Linked DNA regions of Macaca mulatta. The protein of the gene in region 5 interacts with the protein of the main gene of each other region in a biochemical or structural test. Links are inferred from orthologs where the notes say so. Each region holds a gene or a part of one and is shown on either strand. Other genes may lie near its edges. The genes, in order: CRHR1, FCHSD2, CYSLTR2, NET1 and MAGI1.

Evidence for each region.
Region 1: the proteins of MAGI1 (region 5) and CRHR1 form a complex in vitro, tested with the Homo sapiens proteins (2 studies listed by BioGRID and IntAct, with this or other methods). The link is inferred for Macaca mulatta from reciprocal best matches to the Homo sapiens genes MAGI1 and CRHR1.
Region 2: the proteins of MAGI1 (region 5) and FCHSD2 form a complex in vitro, tested with the Homo sapiens proteins (2 studies listed by BioGRID and IntAct, with this or other methods). The link is inferred for Macaca mulatta from reciprocal best matches to the Homo sapiens genes MAGI1 and FCHSD2.
Region 3: the proteins of MAGI1 (region 5) and CYSLTR2 interact in a test that uses a peptide from one of them, tested with the Homo sapiens proteins (2 studies listed by IntAct, with this or other methods). The link is inferred for Macaca mulatta from reciprocal best matches to the Homo sapiens genes MAGI1 and CYSLTR2.
Region 4: the proteins of MAGI1 (region 5) and NET1 form a complex in vitro, tested with the Homo sapiens proteins (3 studies listed by BioGRID and IntAct, with this or other methods). The link is inferred for Macaca mulatta from reciprocal best matches to the Homo sapiens genes MAGI1 and NET1.

The regions. Positions count from the first base shown.
Region 1 is NC_133421.1:70,738,187-70,743,768, reverse strand, and holds part of CRHR1 (corticotropin-releasing factor receptor 1), read right to left. Parts: intron 4,805-5,582; coding exon 4,698-4,804; intron 4,459-4,697; coding exon 4,372-4,458; intron 3,942-4,371; coding exon 3,821-3,941; intron 3,613-3,820; coding exon 3,459-3,612; intron 3,147-3,458; coding exon 3,086-3,146; intron 888-3,085; coding exon 815-887; intron 565-814; coding exon 479-564; intron 305-478; coding exon 169-304; intron 12-168; coding exon 1-11.
Region 2 is NC_133419.1:73,506,284-73,512,665, forward strand, and holds the start of FCHSD2 (F-BAR and double SH3 domains protein 2), read right to left. Parts: upstream 3,495-6,382; 5' UTR 3,279-3,494; coding exon 3,258-3,278; intron 3,134-3,257; exon of another isoform or gene 2,623-3,133; intron 1,536-2,622; coding exon 1,438-1,535; intron 1-1,437. UniProt on the Homo sapiens protein: Adapter protein that plays a role in endocytosis via clathrin-coated pits. Contributes to the internalization of cell surface receptors, such as integrin ITGB1 and transferrin receptor.
Region 3 is NC_133422.1:27,852,183-27,858,488, reverse strand, and holds the start of CYSLTR2 (cysteinyl leukotriene receptor 2), read right to left. Parts: upstream 3,639-6,306; 5' UTR 3,452-3,638; intron 1-3,451. UniProt on the Homo sapiens protein: Receptor for cysteinyl leukotrienes. The response is mediated via a G-protein that activates a phosphatidylinositol-calcium second messenger system.
Region 4 is NC_133414.1:6,978,374-6,984,703, reverse strand, and holds the start of NET1 (neuroepithelial cell-transforming gene 1 protein), read right to left. Parts: upstream 3,849-6,330; 5' UTR 3,713-3,848; coding exon 3,585-3,712; intron 1-3,584. UniProt on the Homo sapiens protein: Acts as a guanine nucleotide exchange factor (GEF) for RhoA GTPase. May be involved in activation of the SAPK/JNK pathway Stimulates genotoxic stress-induced RHOB activity in breast cancer cells leading to their cell death.
Region 5 is NC_133407.1:128,931,767-128,937,348, reverse strand, and holds part of MAGI1 (membrane-associated guanylate kinase, WW and PDZ domain-containing protein 1), read left to right. Parts: intron 1-2,379; coding exon 2,380-2,471; intron 2,472-3,933; coding exon 3,934-4,126; intron 4,127-5,582. UniProt on the Homo sapiens protein: Plays a role in coupling actin fibers to cell junctions in endothelial cells, via its interaction with AMOTL2 and CDH5. May regulate acid-induced ASIC3 currents by modulating its expression at the cell surface.

The DNA.
Region 1 (5,582 bases), on a different chromosome or scaffold from region 5:
ACAAAGAAGCCCTGGGGAGGAGAGAGAAGGCGTCAAAGGTCGGTCACAGGTGTTGCCCACCCAGCCTCTGGGCTGCCCCTTGCTTCTCCCTGGCCTCCTACCCTCCAGGCATCTGCTTGGGAGAATCCCCACCCAAGGAGGTGCCAGTGTGCCCCTCCAGGGCTGTACCTGGAAGGATTCCAGGAAGGAGTTGAAGTAGATGAAGACGACCCGGGAGACCTCATCCTCCCCGGGATTGACGAAGAACAGCATGTAGGTGATGCCCAGGAGGGGCAGCAGCACCAGAGTGGCTTTCACAGCCTTCCTGGGGTGGGGCAGGTGGGGAGGCTTGGAGTCACAGCCCACCCCAGGACTGGCTGCCCGCTGGCTCAGCAGAGGGCCAGGTCAGGGGAGGGAGTGGCAGGTCTCTGGCACGTGAGAGGCATGGGGAGCAGGGGTTTCATCAGGGGGAGGCCTGGGGGAGGTGGTACCCGGTTACCTGTACTGAATGGTCTCAGACGTGGTGGATGCCCGGAGCTTGGTCATGAGGATGCGGACGATATTGAAAAGGAAGATGAAATTGATCTGCAATTTGAGCACACCAGCAGGCTGGAGTGTGCAAGAGGCTGGGGACCCAGGCTTCTCAGTTCTGGCCTCTCTGGCCTCAGTGCTCCTGCTGTTCTCCCTCCTCCTCAGGAGCAGCTGCACATCCCTGGCCCATGCCCCCTCCTTGGGTGGCCCCCACCTCTAGGCAGAGGGGTCCTTTCTGTCCACGGTTGGCATTGATCGCCCCTCCCCACTGGGCCCTGTCTCCTGCCCCTACCCAGGGTCTTACCAGCAGGACCAGGATCATGGGGCCCTGGTAGATATAGTCGGTGTACACCCCAGGCCTTTTGCCAAACCAGCACCTAGAAGGCCACAGAGGAAAGGGGAGGAGTCATCATCTGCATCTGCCTCGGTGGCATGGGGAGGGACAGTGCTTGGCCAGGATAGGACTGGGGCTGGAAGCCAGGAGGTAGATGTCCCAATTCCAACCCTGGCAGAAGGTCAAGTCACTTGATCCCACTGCCAAGCCTCAGTTGTCCCATCTGCAGAATGGACAGCATCCTCTGTGATGAGATGCAAAGTTGGAAGCAAGCATCGGGGCAGGAGGCAGACAGTGGGAAAGACTGCGTGGCCGGGAACGGGCGTGAGCTCAATACGCAAGCTGCATCCTTGGCTCCTCCTCACGGTCCCCTGGCTGTGGCTGAGGCCCAGCATGTCCTCTGGGGGGCTGCTGGTGGGAGTGGTACCACACGTGTCACCCAGTGGGCACCCAGCAGTTCTCAATCTCAGCCTGAACCTGTCCAATCGCAGCCCGAACGACCTTGAGAGGAACATCTGCACAGGTTCTACCTGCTGCAGGGGGTAATTGCTTTGCATTTTCCTGAGTGTCCCTCCAGCAAGCTCCAGGGAGGCCTGGGGAGTGGGTGGGGACCAGACAAACTGGAAGCCCTTATGTCCCCGTGGGTAAGAAGACCCCCAGTGGCTAGATCTCATAAGCCAGAAATTGAGATTTGTATACGAAACCTTTGGATTTTTTAAAGCTTGGCTACAAAATCGAGTTTCCAGAAAACACCCTGCCGGCCACACACAGCTTCTGTGGGCTGGGTCCAGTCCTTGAGCCTCTGGTCTGCAAGTTCGTTTCTGCTTTCTCACACCCAGATCCCCTCTGTTGCAGTGTTGAATTTTCACCACCAGGTGGGGCTTCAGAGCCGCTCAGACTCACTTTCTCCTTTAGCCCAAACAGTTTTTGTTTTGCTTTGTTTTTTGAGGCTTGTGGAGTCTTGCTCTGTTGCCCAGGCTGGAGAGCAGTGGCACGATCTTGGCTCACTGCAACCTCTGCCTCCTGGGTTCAAGAGAGTCTCTTGCCTCAGCCTTCCCAAGTAGCTGGCACTACAGGTGTGCACCACCACACCCAGCTAATTTTTGTATTTTTTTTTAGTAGATATGGGGTTTCACCATGTTGGCCAGCCTGGTCTCAAACTCCTGACCTCAAGTGATCCACCCGCCTCGGCCTCCCAAGGCCTCAGCTAGCCTGAGTCAGGAGGGAGTCAACCTCCTAAACACGCAAGATAATCTTCCAGGCTCCTTCGTCAGCCCAATGAAGCCATGCAGGCCCCCTCCCCTCCGTGGGGTGAGGAGAGGGCTTGTCACTGTGGTGGAGGCCACTTGGACGCCAGGTCAGTCAGTCAGATAGGTTCCTGGGAACACCTGTTTGGCAAACAAGGTCCTGGGGCTCCCCTGCCATCCACGTCCACCTTTTCTGCCCCCCTCTCTCTCAGTGGTTCTCAATCTTAGCTGCACATTAGAATCACCTGGGCAGTTTTCAAGAATTCTGGGTGCCAGGCCACACCCCAGACTAATTACACCTGACTCTCTGGCGGTGAAGCCTGGGCACTGGTACTTTTCGAAGCATCCCAGGTGATTCTAATGTGAGCCAAGGCTGAGCACCACTGCAGCAGAAATCAAGTTTCCAGGCACGACTGGAAACACCTGAGTCCGTTTCATAAGGAACCAAAGAACTTCAGAGCTGGAAGAAGCCTCTGGGATCATCTAGGTCCACTTCTGTTAAATTCACGGACTCTTCTATTAAGATGTCTTAATATTACGAGAACACATTTATACAGCATTTGCTCTATGTGCCAGGTCCGATTCTAAATGCTTAATATAGATGGACTGATATCACCCCACAACAGCCCTTTGAGGCAGTATGTCCATTTTATAGATGAGGAAACTGAGGCACGCTGCAGTAATCCGTCCAAGGTCACACAGCTATTTAATGACGGAGCCACGATTCTGAACCTGGGCAGTCTGGCTCCAGGCTGCTTCCTGTGTAAGCTCAAGGCAGATAAAGGAGGCTGGATCCTGTTTGTCCAGTCCCACCCAGGCAGAGCACAGGCAGGGACCCTCTGAATGAGTCCAACCCCCCAGATCCCTCCCTTTACAGATGCAGAAGCCATGGTCCTGAGGGGAAAGCCAGCATGGCCCAAGGCCCTTGGGAGTGTCACCAAGCTAGGCTGGGAGCCTAAACCTTGGGGGCAGGAAGGGAAAGGAGGTGACTTACTTCTCATTGTCGTAGTACAGCTTCCCAATGGCCCAGGCCACAATGATGGGGAAGGGCACACCTGGGGGAGAGATGGGCTGTCACAGAGCCCTCAGCGGGGGCTGGGGAATGTGGGCCTGGAGGACCCCAGTGCAGCCCAGGCTCCAGGCGGTCTAGGGTTACCCAGGGTGGATCTCAAACTCACACACCTCCTTCAAGGTGCTCCTGCTGCCCCCCACCCCCAAGAGGAGCAGAGGGCTATGGCACACACCCCACTGCCCCAACCCGACCTCCATCCCTCAGGCCCCCCAGCCCTCTGGCCTGAGTCTGGGTGAGGAGACGGCAGCACGGTGGCTGCCACTGCCCAGGCTGGGGAGGTGGCTGCCCAGCTCACCCCAGCCGATGCAGATGAACATCCACTTGCGCAGCCGGTCGGTGGAGTAGGTGAGCACGATGGCTGTGTGCAGGTAGCAGCCCTCACCGAACATCCAGAAGAAGTTGGTCACATGGAAGTAGTTGTAGGCGGCGGTCACCAACCTGCACCAGACCTGCCACCCCACCCCCAACCAAAGATGATGATGAGGGGCAGGGGTGGCACCAAACCCTGGCCCTGGGCCTCCCCCAGGCAGGACGGGGCACACCCTGGGATCCCACTCCTGTTCTGTGGGCTCCTCCTCTGCAGGGCAGGCCCACCTGGGCCCCTTCTCTGACGTGGGTTTGGCCTGACCTGCTCCCCGCTCCCCCGCCAGGACGCACCACGTTGCTCTGGTGGACCTCAGGGCTCATGGTTAGCTGCACCACGAACCAGGTGGCGTTGCGCAGGATGAAGGCGGAGATGAGGTTCCAGTGGATGATGTTTCGCAGGCACCGGATGCTCCTGGTGCAGCAGGGCAGGTGGATGATGGGAGCGACAGGAGAGAGAGGATAAGGGGCAGGCCACCCACATCACCCCAACCCAGATGTGTAGATGAGGAAACTGAGGCACAGGGTAGGGCTAACTGGCCAAGTCACACAGGGAAGTGACAGCAAGGCTCTCCTAATGCCCCATGGAGCCCTTCCTGCCTGCAACCCACCCAGACAAAAGCCCCAGGCTCTGCCTGGCACTCCATGGACCAGGGCAGCTGGCTTCCTGGGGATGCCTGCTTCCCCTGGGGGTGCCTTCCACTCCCTGCCATTCCAGGATGGACAGTCACAGGGGTCAGCCTTGCTCCCAGCCTCCAGCCCTGATGCTCGGCTCCTGATCCCAACCATCCCCATCCCTGGCTCTGCCACCTGCATCCTTGGCGGTAGTGCTGGGGCCCATGTACTTTCGAACCTGAAATGGGTCACCACTCCATGGAGCCCCCACCTCCAGGGCACCATCTGCCTGGTCACCCCAATGGGTGCAGCCCGTCCTGGGTGTGGGTGACATAAAACAAGCTTTGTCCCTCCCCACCATTCCAGCAGCTACTGCGGAGGGGGCAGAGCGGCTCTGCCAGAGGTTCCCGGAGACCTGAGACTCTCGGATAAGCCAGGCCCTACCACCCTCTCCCAGCAACCCCCACCCCGACCTCGAGCTGCTCCTCTCACTTCTCCACCCTGCTCCTGCTCTAGGGCCGGGGGACAAGAGGACGCAGTGCTGGGGTCTGCTCACCTGAGCCGCAGGAAGAGGACAAAGGCCACCAGGAGGGCCACCAGGGAGATACAGTGGCCCAGGTAGTTGATGATGACTGCGACATGGTAGTGCACCTTGCTTTTTTTCTGGAGCAGGAGAGAGGGGCAGAGGTGAGCTTTCTGCACAGCCAAGCCCTTGCGCCTGCTGGATGGGAGCCGCTCTATGAGGACATTGCCTGGGGGTGGCTGGGACGGAGCAGGTCATGATCTCAAGGGCCACTCCCCCTTCCTGAGTACCTGCTGTGGGTCAGGCCTCGCTGCAGAGCAATGCTGTCCAGTTTGAGGCTCTGTCTGTCCCTGAATCCCATGCTCTGTTCACTGCTCTGTGTTGTGTCTGAGTCTCCACATCACGTGGGATTCCCCACTCCACACGGACGCCCCCTCTGCACGCATAAGCGTGTGTGGCCGGCTCACAGGTGCGCCCTCACAGTCGCATCTGCCCATGCTGCCACCCGGTCGGAACACCAGGTGGACCTCTCAGCTGCAGAGACACCAACCTCCCGGGATTTATCTTCTCCACCCATTTCTGAACTGAGTCACTACCGTCTCGGCCGCCCTTGAATCCCTCCTGCTGCAACGCCGCCTGCTCCTGTGAGCGAGGAGGGGCCGGACAGCTGCTGGGCTCTGGCATCCACAGAATCAGCCGAAAGCACAGAACAGTCTCCTTAGGCTCCATAACTCACTTTCCAGGGCCTTCCCCATCCCTGGCCCAAGGGGATCTGTGCAAAGTGAACAGGATCCTCTCCCAGGACTGGAACACATTCCCCGGGTTTATTTCCTAATGAATTTAATATACTGATGGAGGTCACTGCCCTCCTCTTTACAGCAATCTTAAGTTCCAAGAGTGATGAAGCCTTCCCATTTA
Region 2 (6,382 bases), on a different chromosome or scaffold from region 5:
CAGGTATCTCACACAGGAATTTTTTTTTTTTTCTTTTGAGACAGGGTCTCACTCTGTTGCCCAGGCTGGAGTGCAGTGCTGCCATCTCGGCTCACTGCAACCTCCACCTACTGGGTTCAAGCAATTCTTCTGCCTCAGCCTCCCAAGTAGCTACGACTACAGGCGCATGCCACCATGCCTGGCTAATTTTTGTATTTTTAGTAGAGACAGTGTTTCACCATGTTGGCCAGGCTGGTCTCAAACTCCAGACCTCAGGTCATCTGCCTACCTCAGCCTGCCAAAGTGCTGGGATTACAGGTGCGAGCCACCACGCATGGCCTCGCATAGGAATTTTTAAGTCTAAATATTTTCTTATGGTTATAACAAGGGGGGAAAGACAAATACAGAATTAAAATTGTAATTTTCAGTCAGAAAACAACAATCTTGATAAATCCAGATTGGATGAGAATAGATTTATATGCCTTAGTCAGAAACCCTAACGACACGTATACAACAGAAATGCTTATATTGCCTAAATATAGGAGAGGAAAAAAAGGAAATTCTTAAAACTAAAATCTTTGGGCTACAAACAGCAATTCAAACACATAATTTTATAATAACACCATCGAGTTAATATTTTTCATGAAACCAACATGAAGTGTACTACCAGAAAACTAGGTAACTGATAAGGCTTACAGACCCAATTCCAATGTGATAAATGTATTACAAAAGGGAAATAAGAATTGCAGCCACTCTTGTTTCACCATGCAAATCATCTCCCATTCTAGACAAAAATCTTTGTTGAACTGTCAGTCTATATTAAAAGACTGTTAAATAAGTGGTATTTCTTTCATTAAAATAAGTCATCCATCCCTCTAGGAAGAAAGATACTGATTTTCACAATATTAGCAAGATGTCTTAGCTATTCAAAGTTATCTTGACTATGAATATGAGTAACCTCAATAATAAAATAAAATATGATAAACACACTTCTCACTAAATTTGGCACTCAAAGACAAAGTTGTATTTGTCATGTTCTAACCCAGTGAGAGCATATAATCATCTGGGGTTGACTGGCTCACCCCCAGATATTAACCATTAACCACAAGTGTTGGTTTAAAAATCTAACTGTGTAAAACTGTTAAGGTCAATAAAATGATTGTTACAGTTCCATGGAAAGATTATTTAAACAAGAATCTTTAATTATTATAATTTGACTAATAAGACTTTTAAGGTCCTTTTTTCCAAATACTATGTGTGCATTATAGGTCCCCTACTGAAGGAAAAAGTTTGTATTGTGTTAGTTCCATTTCTAATTTCCAGCTGAGTCAAAGTTCTAACAGCCTTAAAGCAGGAAATCCAAAAGGAAATTCCATCATCAGTTCCTGGGGCTTGGTAACTCAAAGCTTCTTTGAAACAGAGAAATAGAAGTCCTTGAACTATTTACTATAGCCTTACCTCATATCTTCAAGCAAATCACATTCTGCTTGATGTTTGGCTTGAAGTTTTGTCATCTGCTCAACTTGAATGTTTTTCAGTTCTTGGGTAACTTTCACCTAAAATACACCATATATTTATGAAGGTCTTTTTACAAATTTAACCCAAAAAAATTGCTTAAGGAAAATACATCTGTCAGAATATGTCTCTTGCTCGCCTCTCCCCTGAAGGCCATAAATCCATTATTTGCCATCTAGTTTTATTTACTGAAGATACTTACTTAATGAAAAATTAAAGCCAAATAGCCTGAACAGAGGTTTAATGAAAATACACGACTATAAATATTATAAACTAAAGACATGCAAAATAAACTGCCAGTCATTCCATTTCATACACAAGCTCAATCCATGTCTAGGTCTTCCTAGAGTTTTAAAAGAGGCTGTCTTCTATTTCTAAAAAAGATTCAAAGACTTTAACCACCAGGAGAGGCAAGCAGAGTGTGGATGGGGGCTGGGAGGCTAAGAGTGCCTGATACCCAATGACCAATATTTACACAATCATGATAATATGCATGAATCGACTACATAAATTACTCCATAATGGCTGCGAAAAAGCACACTGTCTCAGAATGATGCCCTCGACTTGCTGACAGCGCATCAAATCACAATCTCTTTCTCACAAAGGAGAAAGCTAAAGTGACCTTCCAGCATATGCAGTGCTTTTAAACTACCCCGGCAAGCCGATCCCGGTAGAGGCTCCACTTCAAACAGCGAGAACAGCAAATGCCTGCTGGCCAGAGGGCCTCCCGCCAGGCCGGGCCCCAGGGTGCGAAGTTACGGTGGGTCTGGAATCTCGGCCTTAGGAGTGGGACCACTCGGAGGGGTGGGGGTACATGTTCGAAAGAAAATGACTCACTTAAATGGAGAAACCCGGATTAGGAAAGAGAGAAAGCAGAGGCAGCAGACACGGGTGAGTTAGGCGTTAGGCAAATGTTTGCCCACGAGGGGAGGACAGAACGGCCTCATCCACCCAGTGCCCAGAGTAGACATTCAGTATCTATCTGTAGGATTAAAAAGACAAGGACACAGCCTCGACCCCTGGGAAAGCTGGGGAAGGGCGCAGCGGGGAGGCTGATGACAAGCAGGGTGCATCCGTCACTCCCACCCTGGTCATCCAACCCCGGATCGCAGTGCACACGCCACGCACCTCCCGGGCCCGGTCCTCGCTTTTCAGAAGACAGCACTACAACCTCCTCGCCCCTCAGTCGGGAACGAGGCAGGACCCGTCAATCCTTAATTTATTTTCCCTTGGGGTGGGGAGGCGGTGACTATTCCAACTTCTTTTCGGCCGCCCCGTGGGAAAAGCAGGCCAAACCCTAAGGCTAGGCTAGAAACAAATCCCCCGCAAATTTGCAAGCGGGCGGGGCTGGCGACAAGCGGCTGGAGGGCTCAAAGCTGGTGCAGACTAAACAATCACACACGCACAAGGCTCTGCAAAGCTGCCGGGGCGTCCCTGCCTCCCCCTCGGTGCAGCCCGGAGAATGCACTTTGCAGCGGGCAGCATTGCCATGCGCGCGCACACACACAAATGCACACCCGAAACTCTTGTGAAATGTCTGGGGGTCTCCTGCGTAGAAAAGGGACGAGCCCCGGCGGCCCTTCTGTCGGAAAGGCAACTCACGAGCACGCCCCCCACCTGGAGCCGGCAGCAAGTCGGTGACAAGCCCAAGGCGAGGGCGGTCACGGCCCCTTGCGGGAGGGGGAGGGGGCGCAGCGGTCGCCCCAGCCGCGTTCCCCGTACGCATCCCTCCGAACCCCAAAGCCCACCAACTGCGCCCTTACCTTCCTCGGCGGCGGCTGCATGATGCTGAAGGGACATCAATCCTCCCCGACGGCAGCCTTAGCAAGGACCAGGAGGAGGAGGGCCGGAGAGGAGGGGACGGCCCAGCGAGCGCGCGCGTGTGTGAAAGGAGAGCCTAAGAAGCAGGACTTGCCCCGAAGGGAGCAGGCCGGCGGGCGGCCGAAGGACCCCAGCCAGAGACCGAGTGTGAGGAAAAGGGGGAGGAGCGCCGGGAAGGCTTGGGGCCCGGGCGGCCCGGGGGTGTGTGAGGAAGGAGGCGGAGACGGCGAAGGGGCGGGGGCCCCGGGAGCGGGGTCGCGAGGGTCTCCACCGGCCGGGCGGCGGGTGAGCCGCAGCAGAATTGTCCGCGCTCCCCGTCCGCCGCCTGCTGGGCCGCTCCCGGCGGACGCAGCGGCCCCCACCCCACCCACTCAGGCGGCCCGGCCCTCGCTGGGCCTAACGCCCCCGCCCGCCCGGGAGGAGGAAGGTGGTGCCGCGCTCCCGGCTAGGGCTCCACCACTCAGGCCGCGGGAATTTCCGGCCTCGCCGCGCGGCGCAGCGCCCCGCTCCGGCTGCTGAGGGAACCGCTCCGTCCAGAGCGGGGTTCGAGGGGCCGGTCCGCGCTGCCGGTAGGGAGCGAGGCCACGGCACAGGGCTTCGTACCGCGGCAGGGGAAGGGGGGAGCTAACGGATTGGTCGGCGGGTGGGAAGTGTAGAAACGCCAGCGCCAGGCGAAAATCCCCCCTTTCTCTCCGACAGTGGCACGTTCCAGACGCCTCCTGGCCTCCCTCCCCCACGCTGAGAGCCAGCCGGGGGCTTCCCGCGCGCTTTCCCGCCAGCTCGCCCCGGCGCGCGTCTCCGCTCGGGGGCGCGCACGTGGGCGGGAGAGGGCTCCGCGCCGACGCACGCGCAGAGGCCGCCCCCGTCTCCTGCCCGCCTTTGCGGCTGCAGTGTGTTTGTGTATGTGTCGGGGGGGCGGGGGGCGACGCTCACAGGGAAATGTTTGCAGTGGGGAGGGGGTCAGCATCCCTGTGGGATACAGAATTCTGGCGTTTGCTTCCTCTCAGCCCCTCAACACCCCACTCTCCCTACCAGCTAGATGTGCGCAAGAGGGACGAGCAAGGACAAGTCGCTTTGCGGCTGGCCGCAGGTGCCAGGCCATTGAGATTGTAGGGCGGAAAGGCAATTGCTCTGCAAAGGAAACGGCGGCACTCTACTGCAGGGCATTCAAGTCAAAGATCACTGACTCTGCGCTGAGAGGGAGCCGAGAGAACGTTAAGGCCGAGGCCCCCATTTCACAGACGGGGAGGCAAGTGCCCATAGAGGGAAACCTTTCTGAAGGTTACACAGCAGGACTAGAATCTCCGCGTCAGGAAGGGTTCTATGGGTTATTTTAAAAAAGAAACAGGTGCAGGATAATAGGCACGAGGAAAAGTAGAGGAGGCAGGAGAGGCCATAGAGGAAGCCCTTGTCTGGGAGTCAGGATCTCTGGGTGCCAGTCCACTTTGCCTACCCCTAACAGGCTAGGTGAGCTCGGGCTGCCTTATCTGCCAGTGAGGATGCTTATCTAAGCAGTGCACCCCACCACCACACATGAACCTTCCTGCTCTGTTCAGACCATCTACAGGGAGGGTTATCGGCCTCCCTTGGGGTCCTCAGAAGAGGAATACCTCTTCCCCATGCCGAGGGAGTTTTTTTGAGTCACGGGGCTGTGTGGAGGCTGAGCTGGTTTTTTCAGAAGTTGAGATCCCAGACAGCTGTTCTCAGAAGTGCAGTTAGGCCTAAGAGGAAGGTGAATGAGGCCTGGAGAGACAAGTAACTTCCCAGGTGACCACATGGCCAGAAATTGAAAAGGTGGAACTTAAACCCAGGTTGTTTACATTGAGTTAGGCTAGATTCTTGTACAGAAAAGTGATAGAGCTGTGTTTTGAGTAAGATTAATCTGGAGCTGTGTATGAACTAGGAGACTAGTCTTGCTATTTCTGGGTTCAAAAGTTAGCCCTTCACCAGAATCCTTAATTAAATCAGGGAAGGCCTGGGGCAAGGGGACAGGTGGATAGAGGCCTAGGGCCCTGACAGCTGTGGGGCGGCAGCTAGAGCCCAGGCCACAGTAACCTAGGCTGGGCTCCAGTCTCAGCTCCACCACCAATTTTTTGTGAAGGCTTGAGCTAGTCAATTCACTTATTTCAGCCTTGTTTCCTCACTTGTAAAATGGAGGTATAATGCTAACCTCATAGGCTTGCTGTATTAAATAGAATTTCTCCTACCACAGGGCCTGGCATGTAGTGCTTAGTAAGTGCTTATTGATTCATCATTCATTCAAAAAATACTTGCTAAGGTCCTGCTTTGTTCCAAGCCTATGCCAGGCACTGGGGTTCTAGAGATGAGCAAGATAGAATCAGCCTTCACCAAGATTGAATTCCAGACCAACCATTCCTTGAATGACACTGGGCTAGTGGAAGAGGGGTAACACAGTACTTGGCCCGGATGCAGTGTCATGCACATAGCAAGTGCTTAACAAAGATTTGCTGAATCCTAGTCTTGGGTGCAACTGGTCTGGGCCAGAGATTATCCTCCCTTCACCTCTCTTCTTAGGAAGTGAGCACTGGGGTATAATGGTGCTGGATGTTGGGAGACATGAGATCCAGCCTCTACCATGGATCTAGTGGGCTTTCTCTGGGCCTTGGTGCCAGCCTGCAGAATAAGATAAGTGAGTGAGCCTAGAACTTAGGAGGCTGTTCACAGAAGAAGTCAGACCCTGGGGATTTAGTTTATGCATATAGGAGGGCATCCTCTACCTGATTTGCCATCATTCTGAAGCCAGGAGTGGCATTGACTTTCTGGAATGATTTTCTTTGGAAGTGTTATAAAGAGCTAAGGGCAATACCAGATGGGCTTACCTACTGACTCCTATTTCAAAAATGTGATTTTAAAAAAAATTGTTTTAATACTTACCAAGTGCCTTTTCCAAACCTTAAACTTTCATATTACTTTTCCAAGCTAATCTTTACCTGTGAGATAGTATTATTTTCTTCATTTTTACTGATGGGGAACTGGAGGCTCAGTGAACATAAGTGACTTACCCTGACATGATAGACTTGAGACCATAACCCAGTTGTCCGATGAG
Region 3 (6,306 bases), on a different chromosome or scaffold from region 5:
TTCCTTTCTCTCCTTCCTTCTTGTTCTTCCTATAGTCAGCTTCCTATACTTTCTGGAAACCTCTCTCTTAAGGATTTCACACTAAAGAAGCAAAAAAAGTCTACCTCTGGTCCCAGCTCTTCCTAAGGACCCTTCCAACTTTGGAATTTCTTGACTCCAACTCACTGCTTAGACCCTTATCCTGGGCCTCTCAAATAATAACTAGATTTCTCTGTCAAAAGACTCTGACTATACTGCCACAAAGTCATCAATCCATTGGAAGAGGTTTTCCTTTAAATTCTGTCAAGATTATATTTTCTCCATGGGTCAATTAATATAAAGAGGTTAATAAAGTTCCACAGAGATAAACATTAGCTGTAACTAAAGTCTGCATTCACTGGTGAATCGATTTATTTACACAATGCCTTATTCTCAATGGAGTTTATGTGCTAGGTTCTATGCAAGGACTCCAATGTCCAAGTCTTAGTCCAATAGAACCTACTGTACATAAGTAACTACAGTACAAAGGAGGCAGTGGCCAATACCCTGATAAATAAAGAAATACAGTGCTAGGGGTTTCTGACATGGATTTCAAAAAGCTCTCTAGCAAAGCTAAGCATCCACAGCAAAATACTTGCCTTTCTTTGTATTATCCAGTTTGGCTGCCGCATTAGCCAGAGTTCATTGGGTAATTGCACAATCCCTTGTGAGGCTTTTATCTTAAAGCCTTACCCTTGGGGAACTAGAGTGCCTCAGATATCTGGTGCATAGAGCAAACTATAGAAAAGCAGAAAGGATCCTTGATTCTGGAGTACACAGGAAATCTTAATGATGCCCAAAGTAACCATCATGTATTCATGTACACAGCAATGAGTAGTACACTGAAAAAATATAGCATCTTTCCTCCAAAACGGAGGCTGCTCATGTGATCCCAGGTGGATGGGAGGCAGAGTGATATAATGAATGAAACCATGTGCTTTTGAGTTAAAAGGGTCCTGGGTTTAAGTTTCAACTCTGCCTTTTAGTCTCTTTTATTACTGCAGCCCTCTGAGCTTCAAACTCTCCTCTGCCAAAGGAGCACTGGAGTGAGTACTGATGAAAAAAAAATGGATGTGAAGTGATTAACTTGGTGCCCAACACACACGAAGAATTCAGTCAGTACTAGCTGACAATCACAATAAAATTTGTGACAATAATGTACAAAACTCAGAGAATTAAATAGCAGCCTTCTTTACGGCCAAGTAAAAGATGGGGCCATTTCATCCGGAGAAGAGCCAACCAGAAAGACATGAACAATTCTATTTACTTTCCTTTATTTTTATTACACAAGTAGTACATGTTCATGGTAAAGAAAAATTACAATGTAATACAAGCTGAAATAAACTTAAATTATGAACTTTACCACCAACCAGACATATCTAAAATTTCACATATATGCTTTTTTTCATCTTTCTTGAAATATATACAAATATTTTTAAACAAAAATAAGCGCATTTATAATACTGTTTTATATCTTGCTTTTTTCTTATTTCCATGCCATGATCACCTTTCTTTGCCAAATAACAACATCAATGTCATCATCTAACTGGCTACAGAATAACCAATTATATAAACATTATGAAATATGTTTAACCAATTTCCCACAATAGCTATTATTTAAGTTGTAAGAATGGACCATGTGCCCTGGGCTAAACCAGATTGGACCAGTTCTGGTTCCACCTGGAAAAGATCCTATGTTCTCTCGGTCTCATCTTTACCATCTTTAAAATAAGAATTACTCCAGTTCTTAAGGCTAGTATGTGGATCAAATGAACTGATGCATGTAAACGTGTTTTGTAAAGTACTATGTGAATGTTTACATTCATTAATGAAGGTACTAAACAGGTGTTCTCCACTGAGTCAAAACAAGAAGAAATTTGATTAACATGCTGTTGGTCTCGTTGGCATGATTCCTGGCCTGCAGCAGGCTAGGAGTGCAACAGCAAATGCTTCAACGTGGTTTAGGGGCTCTGGCTCTGTTTTCAGTCCCCAATGGGAGAAACCAGAACGCAGCCCTGGCATAAACTCTGTCCACTTTCCTCCTGAGGACATGAGGTCCAGAGAAGGTAAGTGCCATGTCTATGGGGCTCCTGAAAGCCAGAGTGAGCCACCTTCTGCCTCCAAATCCAATGCCATCGATCTTCACTGTGCCCACAGTGTGTTAGTGACTGGCCAGCTATTAAATGCCCACCTTGTGTTTAATCTTGAAGATTGCAAAAGAAAGGAAGCCTGGCTGCCTTGGCAGATTCTAGCAGATATGGGCGTGATTCAGGTACATTCAGAACATACGACAGCCTCAACTTCTCTAACTTTTAACCATCGAAGCACTGGAAACAAATCCACCTCTTTAAAACATTAGTAAATCGAAACACAAGTAGATTCTCATCTCAAGAGTTTATGTGGCTGAGGTAGATAGAAATTTCTAGAAGTCTTATGTTTCCCCCCAAATTATTCTATAATTTGCATTATGTATGTAGTGTTGAAAGGGAGATTTGATTGGATTGCCTGAAATTATACCTTCCTTTCTCCTAATACATATTACTCTCAGGTATATGTCAGAGACAGAAAAATATTTTGAATGACGTAGGTCATCTGTTTTTATGCCGACCACCTATTAGAATCACCTGAGAAGTTTCTGGAAAACAAGACAAAATACTGCAGATGACTTGCTGATCTCTAAAAGTTAAGCTTCAATTATTCTAGGGGTAATTTTCTAATCTCCTCAGAGTCAGGTGATTCTGGCTTGATGTGCAGCCAGAGTTGAGAAACACTGGTTAGGGTCCCAGTGGGGTAAGGAACAGATTATATGCTCATGATCTCACATACTCTTTCACTCTCATTGTGCCTCTAAGCAAAACCATTGAAACATATGTGCTCAGATTCAACTTCTTCTACCTCTAAAACAAGACCCTGAATGAAAAAAATATATCTTATATAATAAAAGGACCCAAACTATGAAAAATAGGATAACTGCTATACAGCTAAAAATGGAGGAAGTAAAGTTCCTCAATGCAATATTATGCAGCAGCTTTAATTTATGATTACAAAGAATTCACAGCAACATGGAAAAACCATAGACTGAAATGCAGGAAATGAATATAAACGTGTCCATAGTGCAGGGACGCAACTATGAAAACTAAAGTTATATGTGCATATACACATTCACAAACACGCACACACACACACACATACACACACACACACACGGAAAACCCCCAAAATATCAATAGAGGCTATCTTGGTGGAGAATTTGGCTTCCTTTAACATTTTTGTACTTTCACAGTATTTTTTAAACTACCATGTACATGATAGGAAAATAATATTTATAGTAGAACAAAACAAATTTACTTTTCAAAAATTACTCCTCTATTACGTGATCTTCAAGTCATGATTCTCAACACTGAATTAACAAAACAAAGATTAAAATGCCCACCTGAAGTTCTCTGTCTTTCAGCTGCCCTGGCTTCTGCTGCCTCTATCTCTTCTGCCTTTCTCCTCCAAGTAATTCGGATTGCTCATTTAAAAGAAAAGGGAAACAGCAAATTATATTTATGAACAGTGCCAACCAATAGCAAGAAAGTCAGGAAGTGTAGCAGGTCATCTGTGCTTTTTAGAAGCCAGTATAGATGTCAGTGCAAGATCTCTTCTCAAGAAGGGGGAAGATTTCCAGTTAAGGGCTACATCTAAAAAGAAGAAACCTAAAATTGCCCTGCCCCTCTAATGACTGGTTTTTGTCATTATCTTTCTCAAGAGAACAAGCGGATATAATGGGTTAGAGTCAGGGATTTTAAGTGGCTTTTAGTTCTCCTGAAAGGTTTCTGTTTCCATGGCAACAGAAATAGCAACACTGCCTTACACACACAGCACTTTAGATTTGTTTAAAGCACTTCCCTCACTCACTTATATTTTCAATTCACTTGCACTCCAGCAGAGACCTTATCCACTCTGCTGAAAATGTTCTGTCAGAGGTTACCAATAACCTTGTTGCTCACATAAAAAATCCTTTCTCAGTCCTCACCTTCCTTCCCGTCTTGTTTGCATAGTTGACCACTACCACTTTCCTGAAACTTCTTCCTTGTTTCTCTGACTTTCCTGGTTCTTTTTCTCCCCCTCAGATTGCTCTTCTTTGCCTCTCTTTCTGATGCCTCTTCTTCCATCCCTTTTCTACATGTGAGCTTTCCCCAGAGGTCTGTGTTCTGACTTCTTCCCTCCTTCTCTTGCTCTTATCTATCTGATGCACAATCATGGCCAAATTTAATGTGACCCAGATGGACCTTTTCTCTTCCCCTCTTAGTCCTGCATCCCCCCATCTACCCTGTCTAAACAGTGGCACCACAATAATTTAGTCCATCCATAAACCTAGAAGTCACTTTTAACTTCTCTCTTTCTTCCACCACCCACTTCTGAGCCAACAAGTTCCATTTGTTCTGCCCATAAAATATGTCCCAAATCCAACCATTGCTGACCTCCCCATCACTGTTCAAATCCTCATTTCCTGGATAGAAAGCTGCAGTAACATTAAGCAAGAAAAATACATAAAAGGGATCCAAATTGGAAATAAATAAGTAAAATTATATCTGTCTGCAAATGATAAAATTTTATACGTAGGAAAACCTGAAGATTCCATACACACACACACACACACACACACAAAACCCCAATAGAACTAATAAGCAAATTCAGCAAAGTTGCAGGATAGGAAATCAATACACAAAAATCAGTTGCATTTATATATACTAACAATAAACAACCAAAAATGGAAACTAAGGAAACGATTCCATTTAGAATAGCATCAAAACGAATAAAATACTTTGGATATATACTCAGTAGTAGGGTTACTGAATCTTGTTGAGATCTCTGCACTCTCATGTTTACTGTAGCACTATTCACAATAGCCAAAATATGGATCACCCTAAATGTTCATCAACAGAAAGATGGATGAAAAATGTATATATTCACAATTGAATACTATTTATTGATTTAAAAAGAACAAAATTTTGTCATTTGTGGCAACATGGATGAGCTTGGAAGACATTATGTTAAGTGAAGTAAGCCAGGCATAGTAAGATAAATACTGCATGTTCTCATATGTGGAAGCTAAAAAAGTTGACCTGATAGAAGTAGAGAGTAGAATAGTGGTTACTAGAGGCTGGGAAGGGGAGGAGGCAGGGAGAGATAGACAGAGGTTGATTAATGGACACAAAAGTTGATCAGTGGACATCTAGATAAGAGGAATGTGTTCTAGTGTTCTACAGCACTGTAGAGTGACTGAAATAAACAACAATTTATTGTATATTTTCAAGTAGCTAGAAGAGCAAATTGTGAATGTTTTCAAAAATAAATGCCAAATGTTTAAGGTGGGGAATATGCTAATTACCCTAATTATACAGAAGAGTTGGCAAAGCCTGCAGCTGCCCTTGTCCTCTTCCCACTCCCAGCTCCCTCCCACATATGAAGAGCTCCACACTTAGGCATGGGGAATTCTAGCCCTCACGTCCATGTCCCCTCTCCCCTCAAAACAGCTGCTCTTGGCCACCTGTAGGATGTAGGGCTACACAAACTGTATGCTCTGATGCAACTAGGGAAAAGGCCATAACCTTTGAGGACACTTGGCTGGGGAATTCTCAAGTATCTAGAGCACAATACAGACAAGGAAGTGTCCCTCAGCCCCCGAGACTCTCAGCCCCCTTGGAACAAGAAAGGGGTTGGATGAGGATCAGGGAGGACTCTAACCTGTCTCTGGTCCTCATTCAGCCCTTCCTGTCGCAAGGGGTTGGGACCCCTCTGGTCCTCTCTGGTCTAAAGAATGGCACCAGGACAGTATGTTCTTATGCCTAAGTCTAGGAGTACTTAGGCCTTCATGCTCCAATCCCAGATCCCTTTCAGGTTCTACTCCTCTTGGTTGCTCTCCTGCTTTCTTCCCATGCTCCAGTCAAACTGAACTATTTGCTTATCCCTAAAAATAAAAAGCACTATTTTGGGGCCTGAGAGGAGCCCAGGATGGTAAACAAGGAGACTGGCTGCATTGGAAAGAGATTAGCAAATGCTTTCTTGAAAATAAACAAGGCAGGCTTTGTTTGTTTTGCTTGTTTGCAGTTTGTTTGCTGGAACTGGAACAGACCTTAACAATCGTGGAGTCCAATCCCTTCATAACACCCATGAAGAAACAGAGGCGCAGACTTGTTGAGCAGCATGGTCATGGCACACAGCTAGTCAGTGTCACACCAGGCCTGGAACCCAGAGCAGGGCCTAGAGAGTTCCCTAACCATCTCCAACACTGCCCTACCT
Region 4 (6,330 bases), on a different chromosome or scaffold from region 5:
ATGCAATTCCTATCAGAATCCCAGTGGACTCCTTTGTAAAAATCAATAAGCTGATTCTAAAATTCACGCAGAATTGCAGGAGACCGAGGATAGCCACAGCAATCTTGGGGAAAAAAAGAACAAAGTAGGAGGACTCACATTTCCCAATTTCAAAACTTACCACACAAAGCAACGGTAATCAATACACTATGGTAATGGCATAGGGCTATTACATATAGATCAAGGGAATAAAAGTCAAAGTCTAAAAATAAACTCTCATGTTTATGGTCAACTGATTTTTGACAAGGGTGCTAAGACTACTCAATGGGAGAAGGAACAGTCTTCAAAAAATGGTGCTGGGGTACCTGGATAGACACATGAAAAAGAATTAGGTTGGACCCTCATCTCACATTATATACAAAAACTAACTCAAAATGGATTAAAGACCTAAATGTAAAAGCTAAAACGATACAATTCTCAGAAGAAAGCACTGGGGAAAGGATTCGTAACAATGGATTTAGCAGTGATTTCTTGGATATGACATCAAAACACAGGCAACAAAAGCAAAAATAGACAAGTAAGACTACAAACTAAAACATTTTTGTGCTTCGAAGAACATAATGACAGTGAAAAGACAACCCACAGAATAAGAGAAAATATTTGCAAATAATCTATCTGATAAGGGACTCGTATCCAGAATAAAGAACTCTTAACTCAATAAAAAAGAAATTTGCAAATGAGCAGGGCCAGATGCGGTGGCTCTCGCCCAGGCAGGCGAATCACAAGGTCAGGAGTTCAAGACAAGCCTGGCCAACATGGTGAAACCCCGTCTTACTAAAAATAAAAAAAATTAGCCACGTGTGGTGACACATGCCTGTAGTCCCAGCTACTCAGTAGGCTGAGGCAGGAGAATCGCTTGAACCTGGGAGGCAGAGGTTGCAGCGAACCAAGATCGCACCACTGCACTCCAGCCCCGGTGAGAAGAGTGAGATTCTGTCTCAAAAAAAAAAAAAAAAAAACCCCAAAGGATGGCCCACCAAAAACGGCCACACACATTACATGAATTCATTCATATGCGATGTCCAGAACACAGAAATTCCTACAGACCAAGAGATTAGGTTTTGGGGCAGAAGGGGCAGGAGGTGAACAACAGCTAAAGGTTATAAATGCTCTTTTTGAGGTGATGAAAATGTTCTAAGTAGTACGATTTAAGTGGGTAAATTGTACTGTACGTATTTGTCTTTCAAATTAGTTTATAGTGAGTTTTGCAGAACATTTTTTAATAGTCACACAATCATATACACAAATTTTCCTTATGATTTCTGAATCTGATACAGCCCTTAGTTGTTTCTTGCCTCACAATTAATACTATCTTGTAATATTTTACATATTCTTGTAGATGATCTTACCTCTTTTCTGGAAAAGGAATGTTAGTTATTTAATTCTCCATTTTCCCTCCATGGTTCTTCTGTGTCTCACTCTCCTCATGTTGCCTGTGTTACTACGCTTTTCTCAGAATAGATCATTTCCTACCTCACACAAAAAATAGAGGCCTGGTGGGAAAGTCCTCAAATTCCTGCTCACGACACACCCCATTCTTCAAAATTATGTACCATCCATAGCTTCTTGTTAGGCTAAATCCTCCACCTTGAATTTGGATTCTATCCTTTTCTGCCTTCTTGGATCCTTGTTCAACCATTTTTCTCCTCTACTGTCTGTTCGACCTCTCCCTCTATTTGTTAACTAAGCTCAGCACATCAAGTTTATTCTTTTTTAAGAGTCTATCCCACAAACTTGTGTTATTTCCCTCTATTCTTCTTCCTTGTCTTCCTGTTGCAGTGAGACTTCTCTTCACCAATCCCATTGCCAGCTATCAGATTTGAACAATCATCATTTTTCATTTAGACTACTGCAGACTGATTTCCTACCAATTCATCATCTAAACTTGGAAATTTTAATTTGGTATACACGGCTGAGTCCACAAATCTCCTGAAATGTTTATGTATATGAGCACGTTTTTGGGGAATAGTTTTCATAAAATATGAAGAGTGAGATGAGTCCAAAATGTTGCTTATTTTTCTCATGGAAGACAAACTGATCTTTTAAAATGCAAATATGTCATGCTATTGGCTCATTTAAAGTCTTTCAGTATTTCCCCACTACCATGAAGATAAAACCCAAACTCTGTCAAGGCATACAAGGTCTCTTCATGATGTGGCTCTTACCTCTTTAGCATAAATCTCTCATGACTACCTCCTCCTTCTCCCTATACTGGTCTCCTCTCCTCTATACAAATAGTATTGTTAATATAGTAATAAAATAGAATATACACCCAGAACTCATCAGACCCATTTGCTTCAGGGTCTTTCTACATGCCTCTCTGCCTGAAATCACCCATCTACATCTGCTCTCTAAACTGGTCCTCAAAGACTCAGGATTACAATAGGAAATCATTTCCTGTTCTCTCCAGTCAGGATTAAGTGTTCCTTTTAATCTATGGCATTCTATATTCTATAATATATAGAATTCTAATTCTATATTCTGTAATAACTTTTATCACACATTATAATTATTAACCTACTTATCTTTCTTCCCTATTAGATTATAAACCTTAAATAGTAAGAACAGTATTTTTCCATTTCCATATTCCTAGTGTTGGCACTCACATTATTTCCTGAACAAATCGCACATTCTCTTCTCAACCTGTTACAAAACACTCTAAGTTCGATATTGTAACCATTCTTGGTAACCATCTAAGATCAATACTCTCTTCTCATTACCAAATTTAATTTTCATTCCTCATCTAGCTTAATCCTCATATTTTACTTAATCCTCATTTTTATTTGACCTGTCAATAACATCTGACACAGCTCATCACGTCCTCTTGAAATCCTTTCTTCATTTGGCCTCCTGGATACTGTTCTCACTTGGTTCCCTTCCTCCTAATTCACCAGCTATCCCCTGAGCTTCGCTCTGTGAAATTTCACTGAGCCAAACACGAGTCATACACTCTCATTTCAATGTATACTTCCACAAAAAGTAAAAAGAAAAAACACGAAAATGGTTGTGATGGAAATAGGCATCTCACAACTTATCCCCTAGTCTTTTCATTCTCAGGACATGGAACCCCATTCTCGTGGTGCTCACCATGTCAGTTTCGGTCTGAGTAAAGTCATTTGGGAACTCCAGTCTACAGCCAGTTGGGTGTGGAGAACAAAACCATTGTGGCTTTTCCTAAGTCTCCCCTGAGAAACAGGAGGAGAGGAGACTCAACAAGCCCGCCCCTTTGCCACAGGCAGGGAAAATCGCAGTTGGGAGTCTCAGGACCGACCTCAGGCCAAGGCCAGGCACACTGTCACTCCGGCCTGTGTCACCCTCATCTCCAGCGGCCCCGGTCCTCCCCCGAACCCCGCAGTCACCTCCCCCACCCCCCACTTACCTCCCAGCGGCCCTCGCCTCCCCCTGGCCCTCACCAACCCCCCCATCCCCCCATCCCCCGCTCTCGCTGCCCCCCACACCCAACTCACGGCCAGCCCTCCCCTCCCCCCGGCCCCTGCCTCCCCAACACTCACCTCCCGTTCGGCCCTCCCCTCCCCCACACTCACCTCCCGTCCAGCTCCGGCCCAGAGGTGTCTGCCGAAGGCCCCGCCACTCCCTCCGTGCTGAGCCCAGAGGCCCGGCGGCTTCGCCTCCGCGGCCGGGGCTGTTTCTGAGCCGCCAGCTCGGGCTCCATGGCACGGAGGAGGGGGTGGGGCGGTGGCCGGGTGCCCAGAAGACCGGCAGGGACGGGCACGATGCCCGCCAGCCTCTGCCAGGCAGAAAGCGCCTGTCAGCGGACTGCAGCCGCCACCGCCGTCATCCGGGGATTTGAAAATGGCGGCTGCGCAGCGATCAGCCAATCAGTGAGCGCGCAGCGGTTCCTAGGAGACGTGGAGTCCCGCCCCTTCGCCGCTCCCGGGATCCACTTGCCTAGGAAAGAGCCTAGGAAAACTTGACATTAACTGTTGAGCGCATCCCTGAATCCCCAAGGCCCGATACCTCCTTCATTGTTCATTAGGACTTTCACTGCAGGCCAAGGCAAATGGACTGGAAGCATTTTAAGTCATCAGATCTTTCTTAGCATTTGGGGAGAAGAGAGGTCCAAAGTAATGACCTGTAAACAAGGCTTGTTTATTGGCCATATACACACTAAATTACTGTGCACGTGGCCAATATGAGATATATTTCCAATTACCAAAGATTATACAAGTGTGTTCCCAGGGTAGGAAACAGCAAAATCTAATTTTGAGCCCTGGTGTCTTCCAATAAGGATACACAGTCTCTCCTTAGCAAAACGGAATGAAGTAACTTCATCCTTTGCTTGTAAAAAGTCAGCAAAAGACATAATACAAAATAAAGGACGGCCTCAAGTAAAAAAAAAAAAAAAATTGTTAAATTACACGTTCTTTGAATTTAAATATTGCTTTATATGTGTCAAAGTCTTTAAAATAGCTTCTCCTGACCGGCAGTGGTGGCTCACGCCTGTAATCCCAGCACTTTGGGAGGCCGAGGCAGGCGGATCATGAGGTCAGGAGATCAAGACCATCCTGGCCAACATGGTGAAACCCCATCGCTACTAAAATACAAAAATTAACTGGGCATGGTGGCACATGCCTGTAATCCCAGCTACTCGGGAGGCTGAGGCAGAAGAATCCCTTGAACCAAGGAGTCGGAGGTTGTAGTGAACCAAGATCATGGCACTGCACTCCAGCTCAGCGACAGAGCGAGACTCCGTCTCCAAAAAAAAAAAAAAAACACTTCTCTTTTGGCACTATATTTCAACTTCTGGAAATTTATCCTAAAAAATAAAATTATATAAACATGAAGCTATTAATGATATTGTTTATAATAGAAACATTTAAGACAACCTAAATAAACAATGATTTACAGCTCATCCACTGAGAAGAATATTTTCAGCCAACAAAAATGAAGTGTGAAGTGTGTAATAGTATACTGGTAATTTGAAATAAAAACATGAAGTATAGAGATATATTCAGTATATTCAGTTATGAATTACAAGAGATTATACAAAGGAAAAAGATAATGTCAATGTGTTAAAATGTATTAAATGTATTAAAAAATCAATGTATTAAAATGTCTCTAGGTAGTTAGACTTCAGGTATTCAAAATTTTTATTTTTTGCACTTAATTTTTTTTAAAATAAGGACATATTGAACTTGTAGAACCTTTATAACATGAGGGAAAAATGTTTTAGTTTTAAAAAGAGCAAGAAATTAGGGAGTAAGATTGAGAGGCGAAGCCAGCTGGACGTCCTGGGTTGAGTGGGGACTTGGAGAACTTTTCTGTCTAGGAAGAGGACTTCAAAATGCACCAATCAGCACTCTGTAGCTAGGATTGTAAAACGCACCAATCAGCATTCTTTAGCTAGGATTGTAAAACGCACCAATCAGTGCTCTGTAGCTAGCAAGGGGATTGTAAAATGCACCAATCAGCACTCTGCAAAAATGCACCAGATCAGCTCTCTGTAGCTGGCAAGAGAATTGTAAAATGCACCAATCAGCGCTCTGTAAAATACCAATCAGCAGGACCCTCAAAGTAGCCAATTGCAGGGAGGATTGAAAAAAGGGCACTCTGATAGGACAAAAAAGGAACATGGAAGGGACAAATAAGGGAATAAAAGCTGTCCACCCCAGCCTGCAGTGGCAACCCGCTGGGGTCCCCTTCCACGCTGTGTAAGCCTTGTTCTTTTGCTCTTTACAATAAATCTTGCTGCTGCTCACTCTGTGGATCCATGCCACCTTTAAGAGCTGTAACACTCACCACGAAGGTCTATGGCTTCATTCTTGAAGTCAGCAAGACCATGAACCCACTGGAAGGAACCAACTCTGGACACAAGTTGACCTTGGATAAGTACCACTTCTGTTCTACCTTCCCTATCTCTCCCCAAAAATCAAAGAAGAAAGCATTGCTTTATAGCCGTTAGAGTGTAAGAATAAAGAAATGTTCTTAATATTTGGGGAATTGGTCTCTACCAAGACAGAGCTTCAGTGGATGCAGATATTTAGATTATGAACAAAAATAAACCTGTAAGAGCAATTCTTCAAGTCAAATCCCAAGTGGCTAACTGGGCTCAGATTTTGAACAGAGATAAGGGCTATCTGCTTGACTAGACGTCACACCTACTCTGTGTGCAGAAAACCCACGTCCCTTTGGGATTTCCACAATTTACGTGAATTGACGAATCAGGGCTCACCTGATCTAACTAATCAGAACTCATCTGCTTTAACCAATCAGGGCTCAGCTGTATTACCCGATCCGAACTGAGCAAGTCTGAATCTGTGATTTGCATAA
Region 5 (5,582 bases):
AGTGCTGGCTGGACAGCACCAGTGGTCTATTTCGGTAATAATCCTCCTGCTTGAGTGAACCAAAGACGGAGACACAACTTGATTTAATTTGTTGTTTCATTGAGGCTATTACAGCAAATATCCTTTAGCCAGCTACTCGAACAGAAAGAAAATATTGTTACCTTAGCGTGCTCAAGAAAATATTACTCTCAAATTGTGTTTATGGGAGTCCTGTGCTGTAGCTTAGCTCCATGTTCCCGGTGTTTTGCAGCTTAGCCTCAGCAATTATAATAAAAGCAGTGGATAGAAAGCACCCATTTACAGCCCTGGCACTGAGATAGCTCAAGTAAAAAGATCAGATTCGAACTCCTCTGACTTGTACTTACTGGTCATTTGGTTTCTTGTTTGTTGGTGCATTCATTCACTATACATTTTAAGTTTGTGGGTGAATCACTAAAAAGGGACATCTCTTCACCAACCTAAAATCTAAACATCCACCTTCTTCTTCCCTATTCCGTTGTACAAAACTGGAGAAGAAAAGAATTAAATTCTCAGGCCCGCACTTTCCTTCAGCCCCAAATCCAGTTAATTAAATAAGAAGGTATGCACTACAGCGTTTGAAAATCTCCTTTAGGATTCATTGCAACCGAATCGTATTTTTTTCTCTTTAAATAAAAGATACGTCATTTTATAGGTCATAAAACACCCTATGTATACATTAAAATATTAAGTAAGAATTAAATAGAAATAACCCTCTTTTACCTTAGTGAAGTAACAGAGTGGTATATAGAACGATTTCATATATAGTAAGTATTTTCTTATGGAAATTACATTTCTTTTAAAAAACAAGATATTCATTTTAAAGCCCTGGACCATTACTGGGCGTTGAAAGTAAAATACCAAGTTATTGGAAAATGAATTAATACTTTTAATGCTGAAATATCATAGGCAAATTCTAGAGTAAATCAGCGATTTTGGCAATGAGATATATGATTCATTAATATAGACTCTTTGTCATCACCATTGATCTTAAGGATTTGGAGGCCTGGCTGATTTTGGTAATAGTATTGAAATCCTAATAAACTTTGTACAGTCACCCCTCAGTATCTGCCGGGAATTGGTTTCAGGACACCTGCATCCCCCATCAAGGTTGTAAAAATCCATGGATGCTTAAATCCCTTGAAAATAGCATAATATTTGTGTGGAACACACACATACACACACACACACTCTCCTTCCTGTATTATTTGTTTGTTTGTTGTTTATGTATTTATTTATCTATTTGAGACAGCGTCTCACTCTGTCACCCAGGCTGGAGTGCACTGGGGCAGTCATGGCACACTGCAGTTTTAACCTCCCTGGCTCAAGCGATTCTCCCACCTCAGCTTCCTGAGTAGCTAGGACTATAGACACACACCACCACACCTGAACCATTTTTTATTTTTTGTAGAGACAAGGTCTCACTATGTTGCCCAGACTCAAATGCCTGGGCTCAAGCGATTCGCCGGCTTTGGCCTCCCAAAGTGCTGGGATTGCCACTGTAAGCTACCGCACCCACCTCCTCCTATATACTTTAAATCGTCTCTACACTGCTTATGACATCTAATACAATGCAAATGCCATGTAAATAGTTGTGATACTGTATTAGGAATAACGACAAGAAAAAAAAAATCTCTACGTATTCATCACAGCTAAAACCATTGTAGGTCTAACAAATTTTCTATCTGTGATTGGTTGAATCTAAGGATGCAGAACCCACAGATATGGAGGGCTGACTGTATGCAGAAATACTAGAATGTTTGAGAGTAATTTTTGGCAAAAATGATCTAACAAATTATTAGCATTGCTAGTCTTAATTATTTTAAGGAAGAAGAAAGTGACTTAAAGATAAATCAGAAAGTCTGTTTAAACCAAGCTGTTCTCTTTCATCCTCTAGTAGAGGAAACATCTGGTGACTTAACATGACTTCAGAATCCTTAGAGCCGGCTTCAGAGGTGGCTCTGACTTAGCCTGAGTTCTGTTCTTGGACATGGACACCTGCTTTGCAGTGTGGCACATCATACTTTTAATTTACTTAATTCCCCTTGCAAGAATACTGAGGAAAGCAGTTAATGCTGACTATTTGTAGTTAAGGATCATGGCTTGGGCTTGATTCGGAATTATCAAACAGTGATGAGTCCTTTGAAGAACTTTAGGGCTCAGTGACTATTCCCACTATTTACTTTATCCCCATGTCTTCTGTTATTTCACCTGTTCAGAGTATTTTGTTTCTTTGCCTATATTGAAAAGCTTCCATCTGATCAAGCACCACCATTCTTGTCTTGCAACTGTGTTCATCTTGGGGGTATCACTGCTTTTATCAGAAAAATAATCCATGTCTTTTTTCTCCCCTCTCTGCAGTTCCAGATTACCAGGAACAGGACATCTTCCTCTGGAGAAAAGAGACTGGATTTGGATTTAGGATTCTGGGTGGAAATGAACCAGGGGAACCTGTGAGTCTTTTGCTCGTCTCTCTCCCCGGCATATTTTTCTAAGGCTTCAAAGCAAATTGGCAACAGTGACAAATCACCAAGATTTGTCCAGCTAGATGCAACACTGACTCTTTCATCTTGAGTAGTATGGGTTTTTCATTGGATTTTGTGGAGCACTGTTTGTCTTGAGGAAGAAGAGACTAGATTCTTTCTAAAAAGTTTGTATGCGTGTTTGTGAAAAGTGGCAGCTGCAGCCTCTGTAGACCACCCCTTTCCCCCAAGGGAGACAAAAACAGAAAGCAAAACAGGATAATCATCACCTGATGTAACAGTAGCCTGGTCCTTCTGGCCAGGTCCCTTCACTCTGCCAGCAGGTACTGGGCTTTGTGTGTTGAGTTGCTGGTGTGCAGAGAGTATTTCACAAAGCCTTATGGGACAGTGATTGGAGAATGTCAGAACCCTGCCTTTACAAAACTTGAGAAAGAACCCTGAGTAAGGGTCAAGAAACGTTGAACTTCCCTGGATCTCAGTGACCTCCATTTTGGAATAAATTTAGAATAACATAACAGGGTTCTTTTGAAGGAAGAAAAGAAAACTAAAATAGGTATTGTTAATTTCCTTGTGATAATAATAGCCATTATTCATCGAGCGCTTACTATGTGCCAGGTTCTGTGCTAAAGGCTCTTAACATACATTCTCTCATTTATCCATCAAACCCACCAGTTTATCCCGTTTTCACATTGAGAAAAAGAAAAGCTAATTAACTTGCCCAAGATTACGGAGCTACCAAACGGAGGGACTGACAAATAAGGTCTGACTCGAATCCATGTTCTTAGCAACTATTTTGTCAAAGTTCTTTGCAAACTGTAAATGCCATGTAAAGGTAACTATAGCATTATTGTCTGCTGGAAAGGCAAGGTAGGCACAAGTATTTTAGCTAAGGTTTAGTGAATGGCAAATATAACAGTAAGACATTAACTATAAAGAATGCTCTGCTTTCAGGTGCTAAAAGACTTCGAAAATGGAGATGTCCAACTAATTTTTGCTTCATTCATTCATTTAAGAGTATTTATTACATATTCCCTATTCCTAGGCATGATGCTAGACTCTTAAATAAAAGTAATATTAAAATTTTATTAGCAGAGTTGTATGGAAAGAGAGTTTTTAGGTAGGTAGGAAAGAAGAATAGGTTGTACAATGAAGGGAGAAAAGTGATTTATATCTACAGCGGAGAAAAAGAAAGAGTGAGTTGTCAGTAGGCCACAGATAAACAGCTGGAAACTAAGCAAGAAATATTCTTTCCACCATTTAATAATTGTGACAATACTTAGCACAATGTCTTGTACACAGTGGGTGCTCAATAAATGTTTGTGGCATGCCTGCAGACATGAATGAATGAATTGTTCCCAGAGATGTGAAGGCCATTGATGTCACAGTAAATGTAGGAGAGAAGTGTTTCATCCATCGTTCAATTATTCAACAGATTTATATTGGTCACATTGTACCACTGGGTGCTGCTGATACCGACGGCCGCCTGAGGTCTGGAGATGAATTAATCTGTGTGGATGGGACGCCAGTAATTGGAAAATCACACCAGCTTGTGGTCCAGCTTATGCAACAAGCTGCCAAACAAGGCCACGTCAATCTCACAGTGCGGCGTAAAGTGGTTTTTGCGGGTATGTATTTCATTCATTCGTTCAGACAGTGCGTTGTCACTTGATTCACAGAAAAGGCCTCCTTCCTGTGTCTGCCTCCTTGAGCATCTATTTTAGCAAATGTTTGCAAATGTGATCAAGCTCAGAATTTCCAGATGGCTTGCTTCTCTCAAACCCTGCAAAAATTACTGTCATTCTAAAGTACTTTAATGTGCCGTTTGCATATGTTCAACAAAGTCTTCCAGAGGAAGGCTTGTTGAATATATATTACTTCCCTTCTATCTCCTTGCAAATCAGAACTTAGCCATCCTCTTCATTTGATGATAATCCTCAACAAATGAGGTCATTATGAAAGTCAGAAGAGTTGTAGCTTCATATCAAGAGAACAAAAATTGGGTTTGTGCTACAAAATAAGCTCATAAAAAAGTTACTGATTTCTTACTGTCCTATGTATTAAACCAAGATTTTTTTTTCTTTCTACAAGAAAGTTGTAGAGCCAGCCAGTTCTAGGTCAGCTTTGATTCCTTCTTCCTGCCCATAAGCTTTGAACTTTAATTCTCAAAATACTACATATCCTTTCAGGCTCAGCACAAATATAACCTTCTTCCCTCGGAAATTCCTCCTTCCTCCGACTACCTTCAGATTTTAGCATTCCCTCCTTGCCATTCTAGTGACTCATGGTTTACTTCCACATCCGAATCTGCCATTTTGAGACAGTGAATTGTGTGTCTGTCCTTTCCCTTGACCTACCAGCTTCCTGAAAGCTCACGTTGAATACACCTTGTTGTTCACCTTTGGATGCAGCTCCCACTTTGAAACCTTTGAGACAGAACCCAGAATACAGCAGAAGTGATTGTCTTCTATCAGTTGAATTACTGGAGAAATATGACCTGAAATATTATGAATTCTTGTGGCATTAATATTAGTGAAACAGATACCTGCCAGATCAAATTAATTGGTACCTTGTTTTTTTTTTTAAAAAAAAGTATAACCCATTTTAAATGGTATATGATTAATTATAGAATTAAGATGTTAAATTCCAGTGTGAGAGTCCTACCTCCTGCATCCATGGAAAACAGTGTTAATCTGCTGTAGGTTATGTCCCTAGAGCTTGTTTGTGGCCTCACAATCCTTCTTAACATAGTATTCCATGCAGCTAAAAGCAGTCAGTTAGAACTGGTTTTTGAGATGAGATGAAAACTATCTGGCTTCCCTGGCCCAAATAGAAATAGTAAGGCAATGTGATATTTTGTGTTTCAGGTTTATTTTTTTAAATATTAAATATTTTGGATTTTTAGCTCTGTGTAAAAGGCGTGTCAAAACTATGAAGAGACATTATGCAAAGCGAACTAGTCACAAAAGGAGAAATATTGATTCCCTTTATATGAGGTACCTAGGGTAGTCAAATTTATAGAGACAGAAAGCAGAATGATGGTCGGTGGGGAATGGAGGAAATGGGAAGGGGAATTAGTTTTTA